3 linked regions of the Rattus norvegicus genome follow. The protein of the gene in region 1 binds, or shares a complex with, the protein of each later gene. Links are inferred from orthologs where the notes say so. Each region holds a gene or a part of one and is shown on either strand. Other genes may lie near its edges. The genes, in order: Dhx16, Scnm1 and Srrm1.

Evidence for each region.
Region 2: Dhx16 (region 1) and Scnm1 share a complex: the UniProt entries of both Homo sapiens proteins name them as parts of the minor spliceosome. The link is inferred for Rattus norvegicus from reciprocal best matches to the Homo sapiens genes DHX16 and SCNM1.
Region 3: Dhx16 (region 1) and Srrm1 share a complex: the UniProt entries of both Homo sapiens proteins name them as parts of the minor spliceosome. The link is inferred for Rattus norvegicus from reciprocal best matches to the Homo sapiens genes DHX16 and SRRM1.

Annotation. Positions count from the first base shown.
Region 1 is NC_086038.1:2,873,195-2,876,841, forward strand, and holds part of Dhx16 (pre-mRNA-splicing factor ATP-dependent RNA helicase DHX16), read right to left. Parts: intron 3,577-3,647; coding exon 3,322-3,576; intron 3,215-3,321; coding exon 3,011-3,214; intron 2,930-3,010; coding exon 2,735-2,929; intron 2,626-2,734; exon of another isoform or gene 2,418-2,625; intron 2,154-2,417; coding exon 2,043-2,153; intron 1,934-2,042; coding exon 1,818-1,933; intron 600-1,817; coding exon 389-599; intron 215-388; coding exon 116-214; intron 38-115; coding exon of another isoform or gene 10-37; coding exon 1-9. UniProt on the Homo sapiens protein: Required for pre-mRNA splicing as a component of the spliceosome. Contributes to pre-mRNA splicing after spliceosome formation and prior to the first transesterification reaction.
Region 2 is NC_086020.1:185,391,527-185,395,273, forward strand, and holds the start of Scnm1 (sodium channel modifier 1), read right to left. Parts: upstream 2,297-3,747; 5' UTR 2,186-2,296; coding exon 2,135-2,185; intron 2,083-2,134; exon of another isoform or gene 2,030-2,082; intron 1,917-2,029; coding exon 1,846-1,916; intron 1,584-1,845; coding exon 1,495-1,583; intron 1,399-1,494; coding exon 1,304-1,398; intron 1,200-1,303; coding exon 1,111-1,199; intron 1-1,110. Other genes in the region: Lysmd1 (lysM and putative peptidoglycan-binding domain-containing protein 1), read left to right, coding at 3,097-3,276. UniProt on the Homo sapiens protein: As a component of the minor spliceosome, involved in the splicing of U12-type introns in pre-mRNAs. Plays a role in the regulation of primary cilia length and Hedgehog signaling.
Region 3 is NC_086023.1:152,854,846-152,858,492, forward strand, and holds part of Srrm1 (serine/arginine repetitive matrix protein 1), read right to left. Parts: intron 1,004-3,647; coding exon 923-1,003; intron 563-922; coding exon 476-562; intron 1-475. UniProt on the Homo sapiens protein: Part of pre- and post-splicing multiprotein mRNP complexes. As a component of the minor spliceosome, involved in the splicing of U12-type introns in pre-mRNAs. Involved in numerous pre-mRNA processing events.

The sequences.
Region 1 (3,647 bases):
AATCTCCTCCTGAATATGGAGCAGGATGGCAGGAGACCTGGAGTCAGTCATAGGACCCACACACCAGCCCCATCCTCCCCGAAACACTCCAACCACTTCCCACCACAGTACTCACCTGTCCCGTTAGGAACACCAGTATATCCCCAGGGGGCTGGGTCACATGGATCTGCAGCACAGACACCACACAGGCTTCCAGGTAGTCAGCCTCTGGGGCCTGGGAAGGAGGAAGACACAGGGTCACAGAAGGGCCACTTGCTCAGGCAGGCTCTTGTCCCTGCTCAATGCCCACCCCTCTCTGGGTGTCCATTAGACCCTTCCATTGGGACATCCTCCTAAGCCAGCCCCAGCTCCTCTGCCTCACACGGAAGCCCATCCTCCCGAGGGGCACCTTGGTATAGAAGATGTCAACTGGAAACCTGCGTCCAGGGATTCGGAAGACAGGGGCATCATCGAAGAAGGCAGAAAAACGAGCAGTGTCCAGTGTGGCCGAAGCCACCAGGACCTTGAGCTCAGGTCGGAATCTAGCAACATCTTTGATCAATCCAAAGAGAATGTCTGTGTGCAAGGTCCGCTCATGAGCTTCATCCACCATCACCACACTGGGGAGAAAGTGGGAGATTGGTGAGGGACAAGCGGCAGGGGCTTAGCAGTGCAGGGCTGGATCAAAGAGAGGGATGGAGGGACCTCAGGGGGAAAGGGGACTGAGTGGGAGGAGGCTAAGGAGAAGTCAAATGTTCCAATTACGTAATGTTGGCAGATGGTGAGCATGGTGGGGGGTTCTGTGATCTGCGGCCCATCCGGGCACTGGCCAAGAGAAGCAGTCAGGACGGGGCTAGTAACATGGCTCAGCGGTAAATGTGCTGGCCACCAAGCCTGCCGACCTCAGTTTGATCCCTCGAATGCACATGGTGAAAGTACAGAACTGACTCCTATAAGCTGTCTTCTGATCCCCTACATGTCCACACATACACACACACAAATATATACACACGTGCACACATACACACACACATATACACATACATATATACACACATATGCACATGTGCGCACATACATACATGTACACACATACACACATACATATATATACACAACTGCATACACACACATACACAAATGCACATACATATATATACATACACATACATACACACAAATACATACACATACGTGTACACATACACACACGTACATACATACATACATACAAACACAATTGTATACATACACATATACACATACATACATACATACACACATACATACATATATACACACCATAAGTACACACTCATACATACATACACACACACACATATACACACACACACACAATTCTTTTTCAAATATAAAAGAACAAAGAGGCAGGGAAGAGTCTAGATTCCTTTAACCTAGGATTAGAACAAGTCAGACATCTCTGGATCAGTCAAGAGACAGCTGTTCTCACTGGAAGAAGTGGAACTAAGAACTTAAAGCAAACAGTGCATGGCCTGGTGGCTCTTCTTGTACTCTCAGCAATGTGACCCACGAGACTGAGGCCAGCTAAGGTTAGATAGTAGATTCCGGGCTAGCCTGGGCTACAGAGAAACCCTGTCTCAAAACACTAAGAACAGATAAGGGCCACCTGGACCCATTAGAATAGAGAGAGATTAAAGGAAGCGAGAATCTCTGAGGGGGAGGTGGGGCATCTTGTGCAAAGCATACACACACACACACACACACACACACACACACACGCACACACACACACACACACGCACGCACACGCACGCACGCACACGCACACACACACGCACACACACACATGCACGCACCTGTAACTTGCGAGGTCAGGCTCAGAGAGGAACTCCCGGAGTAGCATTCCATCTGTCATGTAGCGGAGAACAGTTCGCTCTGATGTGCAGTCCTCAAACCGGATGCTGTAGCCCACCTGGTCACAGACAGTCAAGAGGTTGGAATGACCGATGACCAGACCTGAGGTGTGGGGCCATGCCAGCAACGTAAGAAGCTTCCCTCTCACGAATCCCCAAAGACCTCACCTCATTCCCAAGCTTCACCCCCATCTCCCGGGCCACTCGGGCTGCCACACTCATGGCCGCCACTCTCCGGGGCTGGGTGCAAGCAATCTTCATACCCTTCTTGGTGTAACCCTAAGAGGAGAGAAGGAGGGGTTACTCCTCTGTTAGACATGCTGTTGTGAGCCAGGCAGGGCAGGGAAAGGAGAACAGATGGGATGAAAGCCAGAGAAGGACAGACAGACAAGAGAGAAGCCAAGGGCCCCCGGGGATGCTAAGCCAGCCTGCAGACCTTGGCTTATAGGCAGGGCTCTGCTGGACTTGAACTGACCAGGGACAGATTGGCCGAGGCATACCCAGAAGCAATGGGAGACATGCGGTTAAACAGTAGGAAAACACCTTTTACTTTTAGTTCTCTGGCCCCTGCAGAGGGAAAGCAGGGCCGAGGTCGTGCGGGATGGAAGCCCAAGAGGTTCCAATCTATGATGCTCATCTCACTGCTCCCATGGGAGACCTGCACGTTCACAACTCGTACCAGGTATGGATGTGATGGCGGGGAGAACAAAATGGTAGAAAGAGTGGCCTCGTCAGTCTCAAAAGCCTCATGACTTAGCAGAAAGGACAGGAAAGGACATCTTTACCATCACACAAAGGGGGTCTCCCAGGACTGACTCAAGGGCTGAGTGGGCCCTAAGTGACATGCTGTAACGACTGACCTCCTCAAAGAGGTACTGTGGGATCTGTGTGGTCTTCCCTGACCCAGTCTCGCCCTCGATGATGAGGACCTGATGGTTGGCAATGGCGGTCAGGAGCTCCTCTCGGAAGGGGAACACTGGCAGGCTGCGGCGCACGGCCTGGATGGACTCCTTCTGCTGGGCCTGGGCTGACAGGGGCGGGCCTGATGACGGCTCCTGAGGAAAGGACAGAGGTGCTGAGGTCCCCACCACCTTGAGAGGCCCTCCTGTCATTACCCCGGACTTTCTCCCTCTCACCTCGTCGCCCTGGAGCTGAGCGGCACGGACGAACTCGATGGTCTCGTCCTCCTCCAGCACCAGCTGGTACTGGGGTTCCTGGGCAGCAGCGTCTCGGGCCCCAAACTTGAGGGATGCGGCGTCCAGACGGGCCTCCTCCCAGCGCCGCTGCTCCTCGCCCGGGGCCCCTGATTCCTCCTCGACGATGTCGGTGGCTCGAGCGGGCTACGGGGAGAGCAGCCGAGAAAGCTGAAGAAGACCCTCCCCACCACTGCTTCTACCAGTTATGAACAGGAGAGGGAAGGGAGCAGCCACCACACCGGTTCCCTCACCTGTCCTCGAGTCTCCTTGGGCATGTGGTAGCGATTAGTGGCCTCCAGCTTCTCCTGCTCGCCAGCCGCCCGGTACTCCCGAGCCAGGTCCCGCACACGCCGCTTGTACTTGAGCTCCCGGCGCTCATGGCGGCTCAGCTCCACGTCCCCAAACAGGACCTCCTCATCAGCCAGTTCTGCCTCCAGGTCCTCCAGCTTTTCCCGCTCCCGCTTTGCCAGGTATTCCCGACGAGACTTCTTACGGAGCTCAGGGACCTGGGTCAGGAAGGAACAGTCAAATCCTCATCCTACCAGTGCCACAACACTGTTCCCTGCATGTGGAGTGT
Region 2 (3,747 bases), on another chromosome or scaffold:
CGTCATCTGAGCCACACCTTCTGTCGGAGGTCTACATAAGGACGTTGGAAGTAGGAAGACTCACTCTTCTTCACCTGCTTGCACTGACTTGCCAGCACATCTGTTGGAATCTACGTCCACAGCAGACCAGCTGAAACAACTAGCCTCATGGGACTGAGCAACTCCTAGGGTCTTGGACTTCCCATCCACAGCTACCCTTTTTTGGGATAGTTGGAATGTAGACTGTAAGTCACCACAATAAATTCCCTCACTATAGAGAGACATTCTATACATTCTGTGACTTTAGAGAACCTGACAAATACAGTTCTAAGTTTTTGTATTAAGACTTTCCAAAGCTAGGCATGGAACTGCTCACCTTCAATCCCAACATTTGAGGAGCAGAGACAGGCAGATCTCTGAATTTAGGCCAGCCTGGTCTAAATAGCAGGGTTCCAGGATAGCCAGGGCAACAAAGAGAGACCCTGTCTCAGTAACAAAGGAACAAAAAAGTGTACTACCATCCACCATTCCCTGCTAATGTTACTAGTTTTTTTTTTTTTTAAAGATTTATTTATTTATTATATATAAGTCTACTGTAGCTGTCTTTAGACACACCAGAAGGGGACATGAGATCTCATTACAGATGGTTGTGAGCCACCATGTGGTTGCTGGAATTTGAACTCAGGACCTCTGGAAGAGCAGTCAGTGTTCTTAACCACTAAGCCATCTCTCCAGCCCCCTCTTTTTATAAAAATGTATTTATTTATGCATTTTTAAATATGAGTGCTTTGTCTGTATGTACATCCTCACACCAGAAGAGGGCATCGGATCCCTTTATGGATGGTTGTGAGCCACTGTGTGGTTGCTGAGAATTGAACTCAGGACCTCTGAAGAGCCCCTTATGTTCCTAAACACTGAGTTCTCTCACCAACCCTTAATGTTACTATTTTTAAGTAGGATTATGCTACAATATTCCATTTCCTAAAGTTTTATTTTAAAATCATTAACTGTCATTAAAAAAAAATTTCCACAAGATTAGTATTTCTCAGAAGACAGTTTGCAGAGTAATAACTTTAAAGTCATCTATTTGCTTCTACCCTTTTCCACTCCTGGCTTTCTCATTCCACTGACCTGTGCTTCCTCCGGCAGCAGCTGTTATAGTGGGGAGCTCTGTGTAGAGCATTCTGGGTGATTATTCGAGTCTGGGTTAGCAAAGGAGCCTGACAATGAGAGAAGAGAGTGAGTCAAAGCTGTCAGAAGCAAATGGCCCCTCATGCCTGTTGCGTGCAGTATAGCCCCGTCTAAACAACACTGATGCCCTCACCTCAGTTTTGCTTTCTGTCTTCAGTTCGTTCTGCGGTCGTGGATTTTGCTCTGTTCCCTTGCCTGACTGCTTTTTTCCATAGAAAAGCTTCAGACCTAGGAAGAAGAAAAGCAAGGGAGAATGAAAAGATTTTGCCAAAATGTCAAGAGTTCATTCTCTATCTCCCGCCCTCCCTACTTCTCTTAACTTACTGGATAGATGCTTCTTGCCTGCACGGTGAGCTGTCAGCATGGCCAGGGTGTCCAGTACTGGTCGATGGGGGCAGATGGCACAAGCAAAGCTAGGGAAACAAGAAAAGTGAATTATAAGTGTGTGTGCGTGTGCGCGTGTGTTTTGTGTTCCAGCCTGCAGTCGCGGTGTACTTGCTATGGTGAGTAGATCCTACTTCTGTCATAGCACTCCTCCAACTCCCAGGTTTCCCAATCTCCACCCCTTCACTTCCAGCCAAAGAATACTATTATACTCCTGAACTCCTTAGTAACAAAAGTTTGTTGAGCCTCTGATCCCCGAATCCCCAGGCTTGATCCACTCTTCGCTCTCACCGTCCATCCCGCAGCATCAGCGCCTCATCCTCGGGGATGTAACTAGCTAGCAAGTCTCCAACTCTTCGTTTCTGCAGGAAGCAGGATAGAAGAAATGAATGAGAGGAACGGATGGATATTAAATAATACAGAGGAGTCAAATGGCACGGGGCCATGCAGATCATAGGGTAGAAAATGGGGTCACCTCTCAGTTCTGGTCCCCTAACACCCTCCCCTAGATGTCGCCAAAGCAACAAACCAAAGCAACAGGGCGGCTGAAGGTGATCAGGTGACTCTCACTAGGGCTTACTTTGAGCACATTGAGCTGACTCCAGTCGTCCCCTTCCCTCTTAAAAGACATCGCGACTATGAGAATATGATAAATTCTACGCCTACTTCGCTGCTCCTTTAGGCCACCGTAGGAAGAGTACACTATCGCCTTCTCTGCTTCCGGTTTCTTTCTGAGTCTGTACTTCCGGGGATGCTTTTCCACGCATGCATCGCGCAAGCCGGAAGACCCGCCTCCAGCGCCCTGAGGGGATCTGTATTTCCTATGATACTGCCTGGACGCTGTGCCTTTTGGGAAATGAAGTCTTTTGGTTATCTATTTTATTTTTTAATTTTTTTGGAGAGAACACCGCTCACCTGGACACAGGTCCTCGCATCTCGAAGGATCCAGGTGTTTGGAGACCCAAGATCCTGTACGTGGAGCCGGAATTTCAGGGTGGGACCCTCCTGAGGTGGAGGGAGGCTTCGGGGGATCTCAGTGGACTCTATATTGCAAACTTGTAGTCCTCAGGCTCGTCCTCCTCAGCCACAACCTACCTGGGGTGGGTTTTATTTGGAACAGAGAGGATGTGGGGGCTCCCGGCGTCCTGACTGTTGGATGTAGGGACACACTGAGGGAAGAGTGTTAATGAGGGTGTCTAGGGTTCAAAGGTCAGAGATCAGGCTTGCGAGGAGTTGGGGAGGGGGCGTCGAAAGTCCACGGGGTCAGCGACTGACAACTCAGGGAAGATATTTATGGGTAAGGGGCTTGAGGAAGAAGAAATGTAACCGGCCTGGAAGACTTCTTAAGATACGAACTGTAATTCCGAGCTCCGTAAGAAGCATCGAGAGGAGGAGGACGAATGTAGTCTCTCGAGAGTCGGGAGACTGAAGAGAAAAGAGAAAAAGAATTTTCTGAATATCCATTCTCTGGGTTCAGCCGTCACTGTTGGTCACTTAGCTGGGCTTTCCTCAGTTGTGACCCTAGATCTTGGAAGTGAGGAGATGGCTTCGCCCTCTAGACAGCCTCCCCTCGGAGGGTCAGGGCTGCTACGTGGGAGCCGTGCTCGTTCTTATGGAAGCCTGGTACAATCATCCTGCTCCCCAGTGAGGGAAAGACGCCTGGAGCATCAATTGGAGCCTGGAGACACCCTGGCTGGATTAGCACTCAAATACGGGGTGACGGTGAGTCTTCCAGGATTGAGGTAGTCCCCAGGAGAAAGTGGGTGGCCCGCTAAGCAACCACCTCTGACATTACCCAAATTATATTATGGCCTGTTTTTTTCTTATTTTGCTTTCACATCTTTGTGTAGTACTATTGGGCCAGATCTGCCCAGCTATCCCAGTGGGAGGAGCAGCTCCCGTGAAGGTGGGTGAGTGGGGGCGGGGCTTTCAGCCATTAACCAGACCTTGTGCCCCTATCAACTTAAGACTGATAAACCAGTTTGATCAAGGTCAAATCACTTGAGTGTCAGAAGAAAGGTCTGTCTGACTCTAAAGCCCATGCTATTAGCCAAGCAGGGGGAAAAATAATGAGAGTGACTAAATCTAAATTTACAGAAGTAAAGAAGAGCTGACTTTTAGTAGAGCTCCTAAGGCGCCTTCTGTAGTTCTTATTTCCACACCAGGGCTCTGCTCTCTTTATGTAGAGAAACA
Region 3 (3,647 bases), on another chromosome or scaffold:
AATCCATGAAGGCAAACACTCAGACCCTCAGCAGTTAAGAGAGTTGGCTGCTTCGGTTTGATCCCCATCCCCCACGTGGTGGCTCACAGTGTCCACCATCCATGTTCTCACTGGATCTGATGCCCTGTCTTCTGGTTTCTTTGTGGGGGCCAGATATAAACATGGTGGGAACAATGCATGCAAGTAAAACACAAATATGCATAAAATTTTAAAGGGGGTGGGGGGAACACCAGGGTCTCATGTAGTCCAGGCTGGTCTCAAATTTACCACACAGCCAAGAGTAACTGGACTTCGCCCTCCTGCCTTCACCTTCTGAAGGACAGCATCGTAGGAGTCTTCCTGTTCGCTCTTCTGGGGACTCTCACTATGTAGCCTTCACTGGCCTCACACTCTACAGGAACTCCCCTGCCCTAGCTTCCCAGTGCTACGGTTATCACAAGTCTGAGAGTACAAAGTATTTGCTTGTTGTCCATACCAGATGAAGACTGCTGGTTCTGTCGTCTATATTGTCGCCTCTGCTGCACAGAATCAGCTGCAGCCATTTTGCTGCCTTTGTCTTCCTCTGAAAGATGGGTATGTTTGGAAAGTGCTTCTTAGTTAGACACAGGAAACGTAGTGCAGTACAACACAACAGGCACTCGGCTACACTACCACAGGTCAGTCTAGGAGACATCAATTCTGCAAACACTCCAGCTAGCTGTCAAGACCCCAAATTATGTCTAAACACTGAAGAAAAAGAATGAGGTTTAGACCAAACAGAGCACAGTTAAAGGCTGGAGCTGGGAATCTCAGAAAGTCTATGTGATGTCACTTTCAGCTCTTCCCTACTGTGGTGTCCTGTACAATGAATCTCCAACCCCAGGGAATAGTCACATATGGAAGGAAAGATAAAAACCATCTCCAGAAAGTCAATACAACTTACCAGACTCAGACAGCTCCACTTTTCTAGGCTTGGGTGCTGGAGAAGGTGACTCTCTTTTCTCAGTGCCTTTATGTTTTGTCACTAAAAAATATAGAAAAAAAACCTCACACAATAAAAAGAACAATGTTTTAATAGTACAAGAATGGGTCAGACTCTTCACATGAAAAATTTAACACAGAAAGCCTCAAAAACTAGTCCTACAGGGCTAGCGAGAACCCCGCACTGACTGCTCACGGCCCACACAGTAAAATCAGCTGGAGGCACACACTTGTAACCCAGGACCCCAAGCGCAGTGGGAGGTGAGGATGCGGAACCAACCTGCAAGTTTGTGGCCCACCTAGCCTGAATACACACAGCAGCAGAGAGTAGGGAGACCCTGCCTCAACAAGGTAGAAGAGAATCATCAACTCTCAAAAACTGTTTTAAAAACAAAAACAATTATGTTGCTCTCTAGGGACTGGAGGCCTTGGCTCAGTGGTCAAGATTGAACTCTGCTCTTGTAAAAGATGAGTGTGGCCCCCACCACCCACACTGGTGGCTCACAAACACAGGTGACTCCTGTTCCAGGGGATCTTGTGCCTCTGGTTTCCAGGGGCACTTGCAACCAACTCCATAGGCCCAACCCCCACTTGTACATTAAAAAAATGTCTTTGCCTTGATGGACACATGCATACCAGACGTGGGAACATGCATATTTGCAAACATGCACAACTCATTCACATAAAATAATGGTAATAACTTAAAAACCTTGGGCAACCAGTTCCAAATCTCCAGCCTTTCCCAAGAGAACTACAGGAGACTCTCGGAAGTCTCCTTCAGTGGAGCAAAGGTGGGGTTGGGATGCTGTTCCAAACCAAACAAAAGGCAAAGGCAAAGGCAAAGGCAAAGGCAAAGGCAAAGGCAAAGGCAAACACACACACACACACACACACACACACACACACACACACACACACGTACGTACGTACGTATGTACGTACGTACATTCAGTGCCAGAGCTTGTCTGGCAGGAAAAAGGAAACCAAGATGGACCAGGGTGCTCTTCCTTCAAGGCCCCCCCCACTGCAGGAGTCTCCATTCTTAATTTTCCTTAATGAACCTACCTACACCTGCTCTACTTTAAAGACTAAAACTCACGCAGGAAAAGTTACTTGGTCTAGGAAAGAGTATTTGGCTATCTAACCAAGAGGCCAAAGGCTCCTTAGCCACACAAAACCTTCACCATACCCAGAAGATGTTAAAGACTAAGAGTGAAGAAGGGGCTCTCCCTAAAGCCCAAGAGAAAGGAAGGGGTTGGGGCTGCCCGTACAGCATAAGACAGCCAGACCAGATTTAAGTTCCCACGAGGGAAATTGGTTTTCTAAAGTAGAATCACTCTGGTGAGAGAATGAACCACACAAGGACCTCATATCAACTGGAAAATTATGGTATGTCTTTTGAAAACTTCCTGGGACATATATACCTGGGTTTTGTTTTGAATCAGGTCTCATTACCTAGTCCTGGTTGGCCTCAAGTTCACAGTGATCCTTCTGCCTCAAACTCCAGAGAACCAGGATTACACACATGAACCACCAAACCCAGATATGTATACTAATAAACACTGTTGCTAAAATAAGATTCTATTCATTCTCATACCCCCTTTTAGAAGAGTTCTTTGGAAGCTTTAAGTAAAATTACATCACCACATTGAGAAACACAGAGACAACTGAGCAAACTGGGACTAGGAACCCAAGACTCTGTGTTCAGGACACTGATCTCACGACCATTCTCTCCTCTTAGGAGCACCCATGGGGCTGTTCAGATGGCTCAGCCATAGTTAAGAGCACCCGGATTTGGTTCCGACCATCCACACAGCAGCTTATAATTAGCTTTAATCCACTTCCAGGGGATGGATCTGGGGTCTTCTGAACTGTGGACACCAGGTACATATGTGGTACTCTCACAGATATGCAGAAAAACCCTCATGAGCGTAAAATAAATCTTGAATACAACCAAGTATATAAAAATATAATCATTACTTTTACCATGGATTGACTTCAAAGGCCACTTGAAAAGGCCCATCAAAGAAACAAACCCTTAAGGCTTAGTTGTTTTATATACTAAATGAATTTTGATAAACTGATTAGAATAGTTATGACTTATTTAATACTATAAATCCTGTCACAGACACCAGGACATAGCCATGAGAACTGGATCTAACACTCTCTGCTAGAGTACTCAAAGAGGAAATCACTATTGTAACTTCCCGGCAAGCCCTGTGTCCCTGAGTTACATTCTTGTACTTGACAACCCCAACTAGTAGTTATTTGGACAAACTACTGAATTGGGCACAGAGTGTTGAACACCTGACATTCTAAAATTCATAAAGTAACAGCGGCTGGAGTGATGCTCAGTGCAGTGGTCAAGAGCATTTGCTGCTCTTACAGAGGATGTAATTTGGTTTGCGGTACCTGCATGAGTAGCTCAGCCACGTTTAACTGCAGCTCCAGAGTGGATGCATCTTCTGGCCTGTAGACACCTGCATAGTGTGTATATATTCCCTACCACAGAACACATTACTGACAGGACTGCCAGTCTAGATTACATAAAGACTTTATAGACACAAATTGAAACCAAACAAAAGCCCCCACACCCCCCACCAAAGTTACTATCTCAAAGGACCAAAGTGGCTTGTTTGGCTGTAAGAAAATGTAGTGGTTATCCCTACAGGATAAATTGGTGCATG